2 linked regions of the Anolis sagrei genome follow. The protein of the gene in region 2 interacts with the protein of the main gene of each other region in a pairwise test. Links are inferred from orthologs where the notes say so. Each region holds a gene or a part of one and is shown on either strand. Other genes may lie near its edges.

Region 1 (8,060 bases), about 150 Mb from region 2:
GGGAACATTCTGTGCACAGGTTTCTCACTTTTTCTGCTCGTTGTGAGTAGTAGTACTGGGGTTCCATCTACACTAGCCATTTAATGCAGTTTGAAGCTAAGTTCAAAATGTGGCGACCAAATAATAAACTCTCACAAAAGAAAGAAAGCCCTCAATGCACCCCAGTGCTCTGTTATTTGGGTAATTATCATCTGACCCTCAAACTGGTTCCATGGTATCATTTGCACAGCAGAAGAGCATTCTTAAATGCTATTTTGAAACTGCATTAAATGGTCAGTGTAGATAGGGCCACAGAATGCAAATCCTGGGATATCTGAAAAGGTCCAGCAGCACTGAATGTTATGATTATATCCCAAAGCCAGCAGTGACAAAGATCGATAGACTGGGTCTCGGCTAAAGTTTTTTTTAAAAAAAACAGTGTCACCCTAAAACTTATTTTTAGGGGAGCTAAGAGAGAAACACAATCTTTCTCTCTCTTATTCATAGATTTACATATACTCACAACAAAACTTGGCTTATTTACAAAGTAATTCAGAAGGAGGCATGGAAAAGAGAAAAGTCAAATATCTTACTTTAGTTTGGTAGTCACAAATATTATTATTAGATTTGAAATTTCCAACCTTTTATCACTCAGTCCTATATGGTAATGTACTTTAGCTGTACTGTACCCTGCCTTCAGGAGAGGTGGCCACAAATAAATAATAAAAATATTTAAGAGACCAGAAGTCAGAACCAATGAGGTTGTGACAACTTAGTAGCATGTTTGTCTTATATGTTAAAAAAATAAAGGCTACTGGCAGATCTTTTGTCTGCTATCCCTTTCTATTTCTCTTGCACTATAATAATAATGGGCCTCCTGGTAGCACAGCGGGTTAAACCGCTGAGCTGCTGAACTTGCTGACTGAAAGGTTGGAAGTTTGAATCCAGGGAGCAGGGTAGGCTCTCGCTGTTAGGCCCAGCTTTTGTCAACCTAGCAGTTCGAGAACATGCAAATGTGAGTAGATCAATAGGTACCACTTCTGCAGGAAGGTAACGATGCTCCAGGCAGTCATGCCGGCCGTGGAGGTGTCTACGGACAACACTGGCTCTTTGGCTTAGAAATGGAGATGAGCACCACCTCCCAGTAATAATACAATAATATTAAAAAAGACTAGAAGTCAGAACCAATTTAATAGTAATATTTAAAAAGACTAGGAGTCAGAACCAATTAGGTTGTGACAACTTAGTAGCATGTTTGTCCTATATGTTATAAAAATAAAGGATTCTGGCAGATCTTCTGTCTTCCATCCTTTTCCATTTGTCTTGCACTATAATAATAATGCCCCCCCCCCACTGGTGCAGCGGGTTACACCTCTGAGCTGCTGATCTTGCTGACCGAAAGGTTGGCAAATCAAATTCGGGGAGCAGGGTGAGCTCCCGTTGTTAGGCCCACTTTCTCCCAACCTAGCAGTTTGAAAACATGCAAAGTGAGTAGATCAATGGGAACCACTTTTGCGGGAAGGTAACAGTGCTCCATGTAGTCATACTAGCTACATGGCCTTGGAGGTGTCTATGGACAGTGCTGGCTCTTCGGCTTAGAAATGGAGATGAGCACCACCCCCCAGAGTCGGGCATGACTGGACTTAATGTCAGGGGAAACTTTTACCTTTACTACTACTACTAATAATAATAATAATAATATACTATAATATAATAATAAAACTTTATTTATAACCTGTCCTATCTCCCGGGGGAGGGGATCCTCAGGGCAATTTCCCAAAAAGGATGGAAAACATTTAATACCACAATAAACAATAGAAACAAAACAAATCAAACCAAACAGTAAACAAACACATAAATACAAACTTATAGTAACTGGCCACCATACATATCTATTTGACAGTTTGCCCCACTAAATTTAATAGTTTACTTTCATATTAGCGTGCATAGGATTACAACCTTCCCTGTTTTCAGGAGGCCTTGCTTTTGATCCTCTTCTCTAAATCTGATCAGAGTTAATGCCTACCACCTGGAAATGTTTTGCAATTGCACTCTATATTCAAATTCAAAACAGCACAAAAAGAAAAGTCAAAAGAGGAATATACTGGGGTTGCAACTCATAAGAATATAACATTATATCAATGCTGTTAAGAGCACCAGCACCTTTTGGTAGTGGGGTCCAGAGGTGACCAATGGACTCTGCTTTGGAATGTCGTGCCTCCTCCCTAGCAATGTTTTCCTTGAGTGCATCTCCACTGTAGAATTAACACAGTTTGACACCACATGGCTCTGTGTTACAGAATTCTGGGTTTGTGGTCATCCTTTGGTAGAGAAGACTAATGGCCTTGTAGGATTACAACTCTAAGGATTCCATAGCCTTGAGTTATGGAATTGAGTTAAAATAGTATCAAAATGCATTCATTCAACAGTTAATCTCAAAGGTGCCCTAATACATGGAAGGCAGTGCAAGCGGGAACACCTTTTATTATCCTCTTCTGATGCTTCCCAAACCCCTCCACAGTCCCCAAACACTCAGCTTACACTGTAGAACAGGCATGGGCAAACTTCGCCCCTCCAGTTGTTTTGGACTACAACTCCCACAATTCCTAACAGCCTCAGGCCCTTTCTTTTTGCCCCTCATCTGCTTAGCCAAAGTTTGCCCATGCCTGTTGTAGAATGAATGCAGTTTGGCACTACTTTGAACCGTCATGGGTCAAAGCTAAGGAGCCCTGGGAGTTGTAGTTTTGCCAAGGCACCAGGGGAGGCTGAAGCCCTTGCACAACTACAGATTCCATAGCATTGAGCCATGGCCCTTGACTTGGTATCAAACTGCATTCATTCTACCAGAGGAGAGGAAATCAGAGATTGCCCTGGTAATGAATGCTTAAGAGGGAACTTCCTAGCCACTCCGTGCGCATGCGTGTTGCAGTTCTTTTCCCCCTCCTCCTACCCCTCCCAAAAGGAATTCCGTCCCGTTAGAAAGGCGGCTGCAGTTACCTATTTGCCTCGCGCAGTCGGCCGGGTTGCGCGCGTGAGGCGAAGGAAGCGGCACCGCTGGGCTCGCGACCCCCAAAGGGCTAGGGCGACTGAGCTTCATTCATTTGTAGACTCGCCTCTACGCTGTCCACTTCCGGCGCCCTTGCGACACCTCCCCTCTCCCCCGAGGGAAAGGCTGGGTGGAGACACTCCTCATTCGAGAACCCACGGGTGCCTCTCTACACTATAGCATTAATGCAGTTTGACACCACTTTAACTGCCATGGGTCAATGCTATGAAACCACAGAAGTTGTAGTTTTAAAAGTTATCTTGCCTTCTCTGCTGGAGCCTTCTCAAGCCACAACGCCCAGGATCCCATAGCATTGAGACCTGGCAGTTAAAGTGGTGTCAAACTGCATTAATTCAGACTGTGTAGATCAGTGCTTCTCAACCTTGGGTCCCCAGATGTTTTTGGCCTACAACTCCCAGAAATCCAAGCTAGTTTACCAGCTGTTAGGATTTCTGGGAATTGTAGGCCAAAAACATCTGGGGACCCCAGGTTGGGAACCACTGGTGTAGATGCATCTTCTGTGTGGGTTGCATGTTAGGCCAAGGGTGCAGTTACACTGTAGAGTTAATATAAAATATAAAATTATAACAGTAAACAAAGAACAAAACTCCAGACAAGAAACAAACAGGAACACCTAATCACCTCTCAACAAAGGATTTTCCCAGGCAGTAACAAGTTACACCTAAAAACCGTCAGGCCATCAAATGCTAATCAAGGTGGCCAATTGAAACAATTACACCTAGCTCCAACAGACAAGAGTTCTTTCTCCCACACTGGACTTTCCACAGATATATAAACCCAATTGTTCTAGTTTCCAACAGACCTCACAACTTTTGAGGATGCCTGCCACAGTTGTAGGCGAAACGTCAGGAGAGAATGCTTCTAGAACATGGCCATACAGCCCGAAAAACCTACCACAACCCAGTGATTCTGGCCACGAAAGCCTTTCAACAATACAGAGTTAATATAGTTTGACATGCAACTGGGATTCAGTTTGGGCTTGTGGTTGATGTAGTTCATCCCATTGTTTATACGGGAAACTCTCAACCAGAACTCAAGCAACCTACAAAAGCAAAGAAATAATACATTAAAATTAAACCAATTTTAGTAGAAATGGAAGTTTAAATTAAGTTTGTCTTTATTTGCTTTCAACTACTGTATTTCAATATTAATATCAATACAAAATTTCTGGTATGAAGTATACTATACTAGGCCCATTTTTAATAGTAGCTCTCAAGCAACCAGAAACTACACCTATCCGGTATCTACATAGCCCCATGGGTGCCAGTTAACTGAGAGTCTACTGCATTGCAGATTGGGCTCATCTCCACTTCTCAGTATTACCATTGCCTGGTTGGCTATCATAATATTTGAGTATTCTTTATTGTGTTCATATTAGAAAACTCTTTTTAATGTTTCCATATAAATTCCCTTTTCCCTTTATATATTTACAGCTTCCTCTAGTTTCTAAGATGAGTCTAGGCCCGGTCATTGCTGAAAGGCTGGCTTTCTCAAGGGTCATCTTATAGGTATACCTTGGGACGAAATGAATAAGCAACCCGGAAGCTCAACGGCTCTTGGTGCTCTACTATTTCCACACTCTGTGCTCATTCTGGCACAACAAACATTCACGCAGGAGGCGTGACCAACAGGCTTGGAACTGTCATCCAGTCGCTGGCCCTAGATGTCAATCAAACGATGGAGGCGGGACAGAAGAACCTCATTGGTGGGCGAAGACTGAGTGTTGTTTGGGAGTGTTCGAAAAGGGGGGAGGAGTTTGATTAACTCATAGAAGTTAGGAGGAAGAGGTGGTGCATAGTAAAGGGGATTAACTCCTTATGTTGTCGAAGACTTTCATGGCCAGAATCACTGGGTTGCTGTGAGTTTTCTGGGTTGTATGGCCATGTTCCAGAAGCATTCTCTCCTGACGTTTCGCCTGCATAGGTGCAGGCGAAACGTCAGGAGAGAATGCTTCTGGAACATGGCCATACAGCCCAGAAAACTCACAGCAACCCAGTGAGGTCACAAGCTCTGAGAAGTCAGTGTCTCTGAGACTTCACAACTTCTGAGGATGCCTGCCATAGGTGCAGGCGAAACGTCAGGAGAGAATGCTTCTGGAACATGGCCATGCAGCCCGGAAAACTCACAGCAACCCATTAACTCTTTAATCAGCTTGAAAATCCAAGGTACGTCTCCACTGGAGCATTTATGGAGTTTGAGACCACTTTAGCTCCCAAGGCTCAATATTAAAGAATCCTGAGAGTTATAGTTTTACAAGGTCTATGAGTACTGGTCTTTGCCAAACTACAACTTTCCACAGGATTGTGCCATGGCAGTTAGAAGTAGTGCCAAACTGTATCCCTGCTACAGTGCAGATGCAACCCTAGCTGGCATCTACTTAAACTAGGCGGAAGAGAGGGAAAAAAACTTTTGAAAACTCATTTCATATCCATCCCATTGAAACCTGCTCTTTATAATGGTAGGGCCATATCTACGCCCTTTCTCTAATTATAAGTTGACTATCCATTATTTGAAATGCTTGGGAACAGAATTAGTTCATAGTTTGGATTTTTGGGGATTTTGGAATACAGTACTTGCATATACAGAATAAGATATGTGGATGAGACTTGTGGCTAAACACGAAATTCATTCATGTGCCATATAACTATGCAAATAGCTTTAAGGTAATTTTATACACCATATCAATAATTTTGTATGTGAGACTATTTGTGTACCCTATACCATCAGAGCAAAAATCCATGGACTATTTCAGAATTTGAAATTCTGCATAATGGATGCTCAACCCAAAATTGATTGCCATACAGAGCAACCCGAAGCCTCGCTGTTAAGTCATTCACCACAATTGTGTTGTTGCTTGAGTGTTGGATTGGGGTTTGAAGTCCTGTTTGGCCATGGAAGCATACTGAGTGGCTTTGGGAAAGTCACTCTCTCTCAGCTTTGGAGGGAAGTACGGGCAAATACTCCTTGGATCAAATTCTGCCAAGGAAACCCCAATATGGTTCACCATGAATCAGAAATGACTTGAAGGCCCAAAATTATGTAAAGGATTTGATTTCGGTAGCCCCTTGCTTTCCTCTGAGGTTGAGAGAGTGTGACTTCTCTGAATTCATTTGCAGTGGTTCTCAACCTGTGGGTCCTCAGATGTTTTGGCCTCCAACTCCCAGAAATCCCAGGCCATTTACCACCAGTTAGGATTTCTGGGAGTTGAAGGCCAAAACATCTGGGCACCACTGGGCACTGATTTAGTGGGTTTTGGGGGCCAATTAGACTGAGAGGGGAAAAAAAACATTGGAGGAAGGAGCACCAACAATATTCAAGTGACACCAAAATACCAAGACATTGAATGATTACTGAATAGTCAAGGTAGAAAGTGCAGAAGCGGGTTTACAGTTGAACGTTAAGAAAACAAAATATAATGACCATGAATGATTTACATAACTTTAAAGTAGACATTGAAAAAGTTAAAGATTTCCCGTACTTGGTTCAATCATTAATCAGAGTTGAGATTGTGGTCAAAAAATCCGAAAATGACAAAGGTTTGGAAGGGCAGTTTTGAAAAAACTAGACAAGATTCTAAAGTGTTGAGATATATCATGAATGCTAAAGTTAGAATGGTCCATGTCGTTGTATGCCCCGTTTCTATGTATGGTTGTGAAAGCTGGACAGCAAAACAAAACAAAACCCCAAAACAAAACAACAACAAAAGCAAATTGGAAGAAAATCAACTTATTTGAGGTGAAGTGCTGGAAAAGAGTTCTGCAGACACTGTAGACTGCCAAGATGATTAAATGGAGACTGTTGTACTTTGGACATATAAGAAGAAAATGTAACACGGTGATAATGTAACACGGTTTTTGTTCCTGGGTTATAAATGTCATTTCCCACTTGGTTCTATCATAAAAACATGGGGAAAGCTTATTAAACTGCAAAAACTTTGCGGGACATCCTGCAGCATGTTTTGCTGTAACTTTCAATGAATATCTAATAGTCTCAGCCAATTCAACATAGTTTATGGCAGCCACAAAAACAAAGCTTCTAGAGTATAACAACTACTTTCAAACTACTGCACAATTAAACAGGAAATAACACTTTCAAACCAGAAACAGAAAAGAAATCAATTTTATTACATAGTATAATGTTTGCAGATGTGGAGAGCAGTAGGAAAAGAGGAAGACAACATTTCAGATGGATAAACTTAATGAGAGAAGCAATAGGTCTGAGTCTGCAAGACCTGAACAGGCCTGTTGAAGTTAGATCAGTGGTTCCCAATCTGTGGTCCGTGGAACACCAGTGGTCCTGCCAGAACTAAAATATGGTCCGCAACCTCACCATTACTACAACATTGCAATGAGAGCGGCTGATCTTGTGAAAGCCTCTTATAATGCCGAGGTTTATTAAATATGGTTTTTGGTGAGCGAGCAGATGGTGACTACTGGATGACATATGTTCTCTATCAGAAACTAGAGCTAGTGTGATCTATCCAATGCAGTTTTCTAAATCAGCACCCCAAATAACCAAACCGAATCTAAAGTTGACCAAAAACTGATTTGTAACCCTTTGGGTACTAATGTTGGAGAGTGGTCCCTGGTCAAAATGTCCCTGGTCAAAGAAAGGTTGAGAACCACTAAGTTAGAGTAACTTTGATGTCTCTCAGTCATAAAGAGTCCTGCCTCAGTCAAAAACCAATCCAAAACTGAGGCTCATTGACTCATAATTACTCTCCTGGCTCAACTTCATTTAAAAAAAGAACATGATCTTCTTTTAATAAGAGCACCAGGAGGCTGAATCTTGTATCATCTCCCATGTTTCCACATTCAATAATATCGGTGATATGAACTACATGAAAGTGAGAAACCATGAATAAAGACATTGCTATTTTTTTACCCAAGAAAACACCTATCTGGGAATTTCAAGATTTCACTTCACTTCACTTTATTTCTTAATTAGTCGCTCTCCACCAAGGTGCTCTGAGCAACTTACAATTTAAAATAGCATTTACACAATATAAAAACAT
Region 2 (7,185 bases):
TACTGTTTCTCAAAAACTTGCAAGACAGAAAAGGTCAATGAATACAAGGTTAGGAAATGGAAGAGATCTGAACATGGACATGGACGCAGAATATTAATGCTGAAGATTCCTTTTTTGATGAACAAAAAATTAATCGGAAAACAATTCAGCATTGATTACATTTCAAGTAAAATCTATAACTCTGAATATAAATATGGTTATATTAAACAGTAACATGCTTCTAGTAAACATATTTTAATAGAGATTTTAATTATTTATTTAATTATTAAAACTAAGTGTTTCAGGAAATTTCAATTACGATTTCAACCAGTTTGATCACAATTAAATCAACTGTGCCTAGTACATCAACACTGTACGAACCCAGGCCACACAGCTCTTATCAGGTTAGAAAAAGCATCAGCAGCTAAATGAATTCTGGTCTCTAAGCTCAGGCTTTTTCCTAGTTGTACAACAGGGAATAAATGTGTGGTTTTCCTAACTTGCCAAATGTACAAGTAGGCTAGCAAAGCTTCAGTTATGGAACTGGGACATCTTCATGTCCTGTGTCTGATTTTTTAAGGAAAAAAGGCTGAAGGGGCAGCATTACATGGGATCTGCCGTTTATTTGTTTAGGTAGCATTGCGATATATATCATACAGCAGAGCTTTCCAAACATTTCATATCAGTGACACACTTTTGAGACATGCATCATTTTGTGACACGGAGATTCAGTTTTATAGCAACCTGTAGGTTAAACCTTTTTATTGAAACTTTTTTATTCGGGCAGGGTTTTTAAAAGGAAGGCTTTTAAAATCAGGTCAGAGGGTTGCTGTGGCTTTAGTTTTGAATACATGTTTATCTGTTTTAAGGATTTAAACTATTAATGTTTATTTCTATTTTAATGTTTGTATATTTTTGGATTTTAAAATGTACGGAAACGCTTTCAAGGTCTCCTTTGAGTCTCCTTTGTGGAGAGGAAAAAGTGGGGTATAAATAAACATCATCATCATCATGCAACTTCTTAAAAGAGATACACACATATATAAATTGTAATAAAAATGTATGGGGACACAACTTATCTCATGAAATTCCTTTTATATGTGTGTGTGTGTGTTTAAAATATATGATTTATTGCTTATTTCACAGAGACTCATAGCACACTAGAGCTGAAAAAGTAGGCAAAGAATCTGCACCCCGTCTGAAATCCTGTGTCTGCTTCCTGTTGAATCAGGGGCTTCAGGGGACTCATATGTGTTCCCCGTAGGTCCATGTCATTGTTGACATTTATATATTGACTTGAAGAACTCTCTACTGTGGTAAATTGACTATTCAAGGATTTCTACACTTGTATCAACTACCACCTGAGGAAGACGCCACATAGTCAAAACTGGTTGTGGTTTATGAACTGTGGACTTCAAAAAAGGGCTGACAAACCTTGATTTGCTGCTGACAAACATTGTTTTAAAAAATGACTTATAAACTTGTGCATTCTGCTGTAGGAATCAGATGTTTATCCCACATTAGGAAATTTTTTGATTCAGAGACTTGCAAAGAAAGGACTTAAAAACTTTGATTGGTTGTTTCTAAACTTGTGATTTTCAAAAAGGACTGATAAACTTGTGCATTTTACTGTAGGAATCAGGTGTTTATCCCACATAAAGGATTTTTTTGGTTTAGAGATTTGCATTGTGTATCTCGGTTAAGTATACTTTGTACAAGCTGTTAGTACATTGAATGTTGTAGTACTACAGCACAGATCTAATGTACATTCTCATGATTATATAACTGCATTACTTTTTGTGTATAGTAGCCTTTTGCCCTTGTGCTTCAGGGGAGCCCCCGATGGCACAGTGGGTTAAACCCTTGTGCCAGCAGGACTGAAGACCGACAGGTAGCAGGTTCAAATCTAGGGAAAGTACAGATGAGCTCCCTCCGTCAGCTCCAGCTCCCCATGTGGGGACATGAGAGTAGCCTCCCACACGGATGGTGAAACCTCAGAAACATCCAGGCGTCCCCTGGGCAACACCCTTGCAGATGGTCACACCAGAAGTGACTTGCAGTTTCTCAAGTCGCCCCTGACATTAAAAAATGAGGCTTCAGGGGAGGGGCCTTTAAAATGCTGTCAGAGGGGCACTGGGTCTCCCTAAACTACAAGCCTCAAAATCCTTCAGAAGGCAGCCACAGGATTTCAGATAGGATGCAGACTCTTTGCTTACTTTTTCAGTTTTAGTGTGATACTGGGTTGTTATAGGTTTTTCGGGCTATATGGCCATGTTGTAGAAGCATTCTCTCCTGACGTTTTGCCTGCATCTATGGCAGGCATCCTCAGAGATTGGGAGTTTTAGTGTGATACTTTGAGACAGGTGGGGCATAGGAACGAAATTCAATGTAGAATATGCTGTAGCTGGAAAGAATAAACTGCAGGTGAAGATGTGTAAGTAGATGCAGGACCTGTGATTAATGGGGCTCTATGGGATTGTGAGTTAGGCTCACATTGGGTTGTAGGCTTTTCGGGCTATATGGTCATGTTGTAGAAGCATTCTCTCCTGATGTTTCGCCTGCATCTATGGCAGGCATCCGCAGAGGTTGTGCTTATAGAACTTGGCCATATAGCCCAAAAAACCTACAATAACCCAGTGAATCTGGCCATGGAAGCCTTCGACAAGACATAGGCTCACATTTCCACTACTCGAAAGTATCCTAAGATCAATACAATTATTTCAGGTGGGATGCAGGCTCTTGGCCTAGTCTTTCAGCTCTAGTAGGGCACGGCGACCTTGTCAGGCAGGACGTGTGGGCCTGTCCTGGCTTCCCTCTGAGGCTGAGAGGGTGTGCTTTGAGGTACCCACCTGCGGCCAGGCTCCGTCCCCCCGCTCCCGCTCCCGCTCGTACAGCGCCGTGGGGGCCTTGGTGTGAGGGTCCACCGGCCTTCGGAGGCAGGACACAGCGAGGGAAGCGGCCCGGTGACCCGCATCCATCCCGCTCCCCGCGAGCGCGCGACTGAATGAAAGCCCTCGCTGGGTTACCAAGGCGCCCGGCTTGGGACGCTACGGCATCTCTTAGGGAACACAACACCTTCGCTAACGGCCGCGCGGACAGGACTCTCCTGAGGGCGGGGCCTCCAGGACAATTGTGCGCACGCGCCGAAAAGAACCGCACGTCGCCCATTGACAGAACTAAACTACATTGACCTCCAGCTGGCCCCATTCATCCTCTGTTGTCCCACTTTCTTATCTCTCCTCCCAATTTCCCTCCCTCCTTCTTCATCTTACTGCAGCTGCTGCAGAATGAGTTCAAAGCCTTCCAGGTAGGCCCCCATAGCCCAGGATTTGGCCCCGGTTTTTCTGTTTATCCCAGATTATCTGGCAGTGTGGACTCATATAAAGGTAAAGGTTGTCCCCTGACATTAAGTCCAGTCATGTCTGACTCTGGGGTGTGGTGCTCATCTCCATTTCTAAGCCGAAGAGCCGGCGTTGTCCATAGACACCTCCAAGGTCATATGGCCGGCATGACTGCATGGAGCGCAGTTACCTTCCCGCCGGAGTGGTACCTATTGATCTACTCACATTTGCATGTTTTCGAACTGCTAGGTTGGCAGAAGCTGGGGCTGACAGCGGAAGCTCACGCCGCTCCCTGGAATCGAACCTGCGACCTTTTGGTCAACAAGCTCAGCAGTTCAGTTCTTTAACCCACTGCGCCACCGGACTCATATAATCCAGTTTAAAACAGAAAACCTGGGATCAGATTCTGGGATATAGGGCCTGTCGGGAAAAAACCCTTATTTTGCCTCTTTTGACTCAGGAGGAGTGCAAACTCTTGCCCAAGCAAAAGGGAAGCATGGATTATGCTGTAGAGCATACTCAGAAATTGTATTATTGTTTTAGCTGACGGTTTTATGTTGCGATGTTTTTAAGATGATGTAAACTGCCTAGGGTCCGCCTGAGGAAAGGTGGCATAGACATTTCCTAAATAAATAAATAAAAGGCAACTGCCTTCTCTCTTTGCTTGGGTTCCCCTCATTCAATAACCTTTGCCATCTTTACCATAAATGTATTGTCAAAGGTTGGAATCACAGGGTTGCTGTGAGTTTTTCAGGCTGTATGGCCATGTTTCAGTAGCATTTTCCCCTGACGTTTCACCTGCATCTTTGGCTAATGGCATCTTCAGAGGTTCTGTTGGCAGTGAAGCAAATGGGTGTGTGTGTATGTAGGGAATGCCCAGGGTGGGAGAAAGAACCCTTGTCTATTTGTTGCAGTTTGCAAGCTCGATTAGCATTGAATAGCTTTGCAACTGCAATCAATTAGTGAGAGTATTGTTGTCTGGAGGCATCATTTGGGAGGTAATAACGGGCACTTGGTTGTTTGCTGTCTGGAGTTGTTTTCTTTTTTAAAATATTTTTATTAGTTTTGAAAATAATGCACTTAAAAGGAGAAAGAGAAAGAAAAAAGAGAAAGAGGGGAACGGGGGGGGGGGGGCTGAAAGGGAGAGGGAAGGGTTGTGACTTAGTGATGAGTTGAGGTGTAAAGAGAAAGAAAAAAAGGGGGGTGCAGGATTGGTGGATGGAGGAGCATTTGTAGTCTTCATATTCTGTCCCGTAGGTTGATGGTATTTTTCCTTATCATTTTCCTTGTTTTCTGTCCTTGTATCTTTATTCTTTCTTATCGGATTCTTTCTTCTATGAAGTTCTTGACTGTGGTCCAATCAGTCTTCTCTTGTTTTCCCTTGATTGTTTCTAAGGTTGTGTGTAAGATAGTCCATATTCATAATTTCTGTAACTTTTATTATCCAGCCTTCAATACTTGGTGTGTCTTTCTCTTTCCACTTTTTAGCATATGTGATTCTCGCAGCCGTAGTCAAGTAGCTAAATAATTTTTCCAGTATAGACAATTAAAAGAGGCATTCCAGAGACAAGAAAATTGGATTTGAAAAAGAAAAATCATGGGATAAGAACCTGATCTCTAAAAACAAACTAATTTCCAGAATTTACAAAATATTACTCGCTTGGTCAACGGAAAAAGAACATAAAAGAATGCATGGTGAGGTGGGCACAAAACATCGGCCACAATATATGTATATCAGAATGGGAGAGCATATGGAACATCACACTAAAATACACAGACTCCCATGATCTATGCGAGAAGTGGTACAAGATGATGTACCGCTGGTACATAACTCCAAGCAAATTATCCAAATGTTACAAGAACATGTCAGATAAATGTTGGAAATGCCATTCTCAGGTGGGTTCCTTTTTCCACCTCTGGTGGTCATGTAAAAAGGCAATTAAATTTTGGAAAATGATACTCATTGCAATGGAAAAGATTATTGGCCAACCCATAGAACTGAAACCGAATACGTCTTACTAGGAATTGTCGAGTTCTCCTGTTTTCAAGTGGTGTTTCTTTATTTACTGTATTGATTATGGTGTTTTTAATACTGGTAACCAGAATTTGTTCATTTTCATGGTTTCCTCTGCATATTTGTGGATTTCAATGGCTTGTGGATTTCAGTTACCATAAATGCTGTCACAGCTGTCCTGGTTTTCATCTGAAATGTTGGGACATAGCTGTGAATTGGTGGCAGTTGGTAACTAGTCTCAAAGCTTAGTAAGAGAAGATTCTGTGCTATTCAAAAATTGAGATTTATTGAGTAGGGAAAATGAGTTACAGCCATTTCTCAGGACTTGGTGGCCAGAGGAGTCTTCCATTACACTCCTGTATATTAAGAAATACATCCATATGCATGGCAGAGCAGCTACCTTTACTCCCGCTGGCATGGATGGGGAGCAGGGATGTATGGTTATCATGAGCCCATATGAGGGATTTGTGTGCTGTCTTACAGTCACTTTGTACTGTATTTTAGCATTATAATTCTTGCAATTCAAAGGAGCAACATCTGCACCTCATTATCTTTAGGCTGGAGCTACACTTACTTCCTATTCACAAATAATCCATTAGTACTCTGAATCCGTTTTAGTTTTGCTTACAGATATTGCTACAAGCCACAAGTGTCCTGAAAAACCATCTGTGCATGCCGTTTCTCCTCACAAGTTTGAAGAACCCTTATATGTGCCTCTGGGATATGTGACTTACTATTTAGATACCCGCATTTCATCACATAATAGTCTCCATTGCAAAAAATGGGCTTTTTTCACTGTGCAACAGTTGCCACCACATAATAATCACACACCTCTTTTTTTCACCTTGCGTCTTAGAACAGAGACAGCAGTACTGGGTTTGGACAATCTTTTCGCAGCCTCACTGTATCCAAATTTCTAGGTGTTACAAGAAGTGACCAACACCTACTATTAAAAAGACATTGCCTTTAACTACCAATTTGGGATAAAAATGTTGCATGTCTTGTATTTTCTTCAGAATACCGTTCTTAACATGTGTCAATCCTGTTCTTAGAAACTATTATTAGATTTATACGATACAACATTTAATTATACCTTCAGTGAAATACATGCTAGATTTAAAAGTACCAATTGCTGACAGTTAACAGCTGACAGATACGGTTACAGCCCAAGACATGACATAAATAAAGCCCCACAAATTAAGTCTCACTAATTTCAAAGGATGTGAAATTGCTTAAGTCTCTTCAGCCACAATAGTAGAGTTTAAAGGTAGACATGGTCTAGCAAAGTGTAAAGCAGAGCTTTTGGCAATCAATGCAATATGTGTTCAAGTATTTTGTTATATAAAAAAATTAAAACAAAGCCTTTCAAATTTGAGGTTTTATTAATTTAAATTGACAAAAGTACGCCAGTGTAACTTGGAATTAAGCAGATGTCCAACACAGTTTGTGTGAAGACGTCATGTTAGAAACGTATGACATGTTGCTGACCTGTGCTTTCTTTTCCTTTAGACCTTTCATCGAGTGTTTACCTGCAAAAAATGAGAGATTATTGTATGACACTTCATCACTATATTACTTATTTAACATTATTCAATATAATTTCCACTAATAATTACAATGCCTCTTTGAATCTTAACTATTTCATCAGTTGTCATTAAACACTCAGCATTTCAACACTGATGCAAGGCAGTAACAGATCTGTGAAATGTAACAAAGTAAACATTTGAGAGAACATTTTATGAGTATTTAAACTATGCTTACCACATCGTCAATCTTCAGGATGCTGCGTACGGTTTCTGTAGCCAGGGTGAGAGCGCTGACAGATACCAACAACGGTTGGACAACCAACTC

What was found.
Region 1: the proteins of FAM161A (region 2) and MIPOL1 interact in binary tests that used the Homo sapiens proteins (3 or more experiments, as listed by UniProt). The two-hybrid records come from large-scale screens. The link is inferred for Anolis sagrei from reciprocal best matches to the Homo sapiens genes FAM161A and MIPOL1.

What each region holds. Positions count from the first base shown.
Region 1 is NC_090021.1:302,547,778-302,555,837, reverse strand, and holds the start of MIPOL1 (mirror-image polydactyly gene 1 protein), read right to left. Parts: upstream 3,108-8,060; 5' UTR 2,977-3,107; intron 1-2,976.
Region 2 is NC_090021.1:151,971,958-151,979,142, forward strand, and holds the start of FAM161A (protein FAM161A), read right to left. Parts: upstream 3,097-7,185; 5' UTR 2,958-3,096; coding exon 2,829-2,957; intron 1-2,828. Other genes in the region: CCT4 (T-complex protein 1 subunit delta), read right to left, coding at 6,849-6,863, 7,096-7,185. UniProt on the Homo sapiens protein: Involved in ciliogenesis.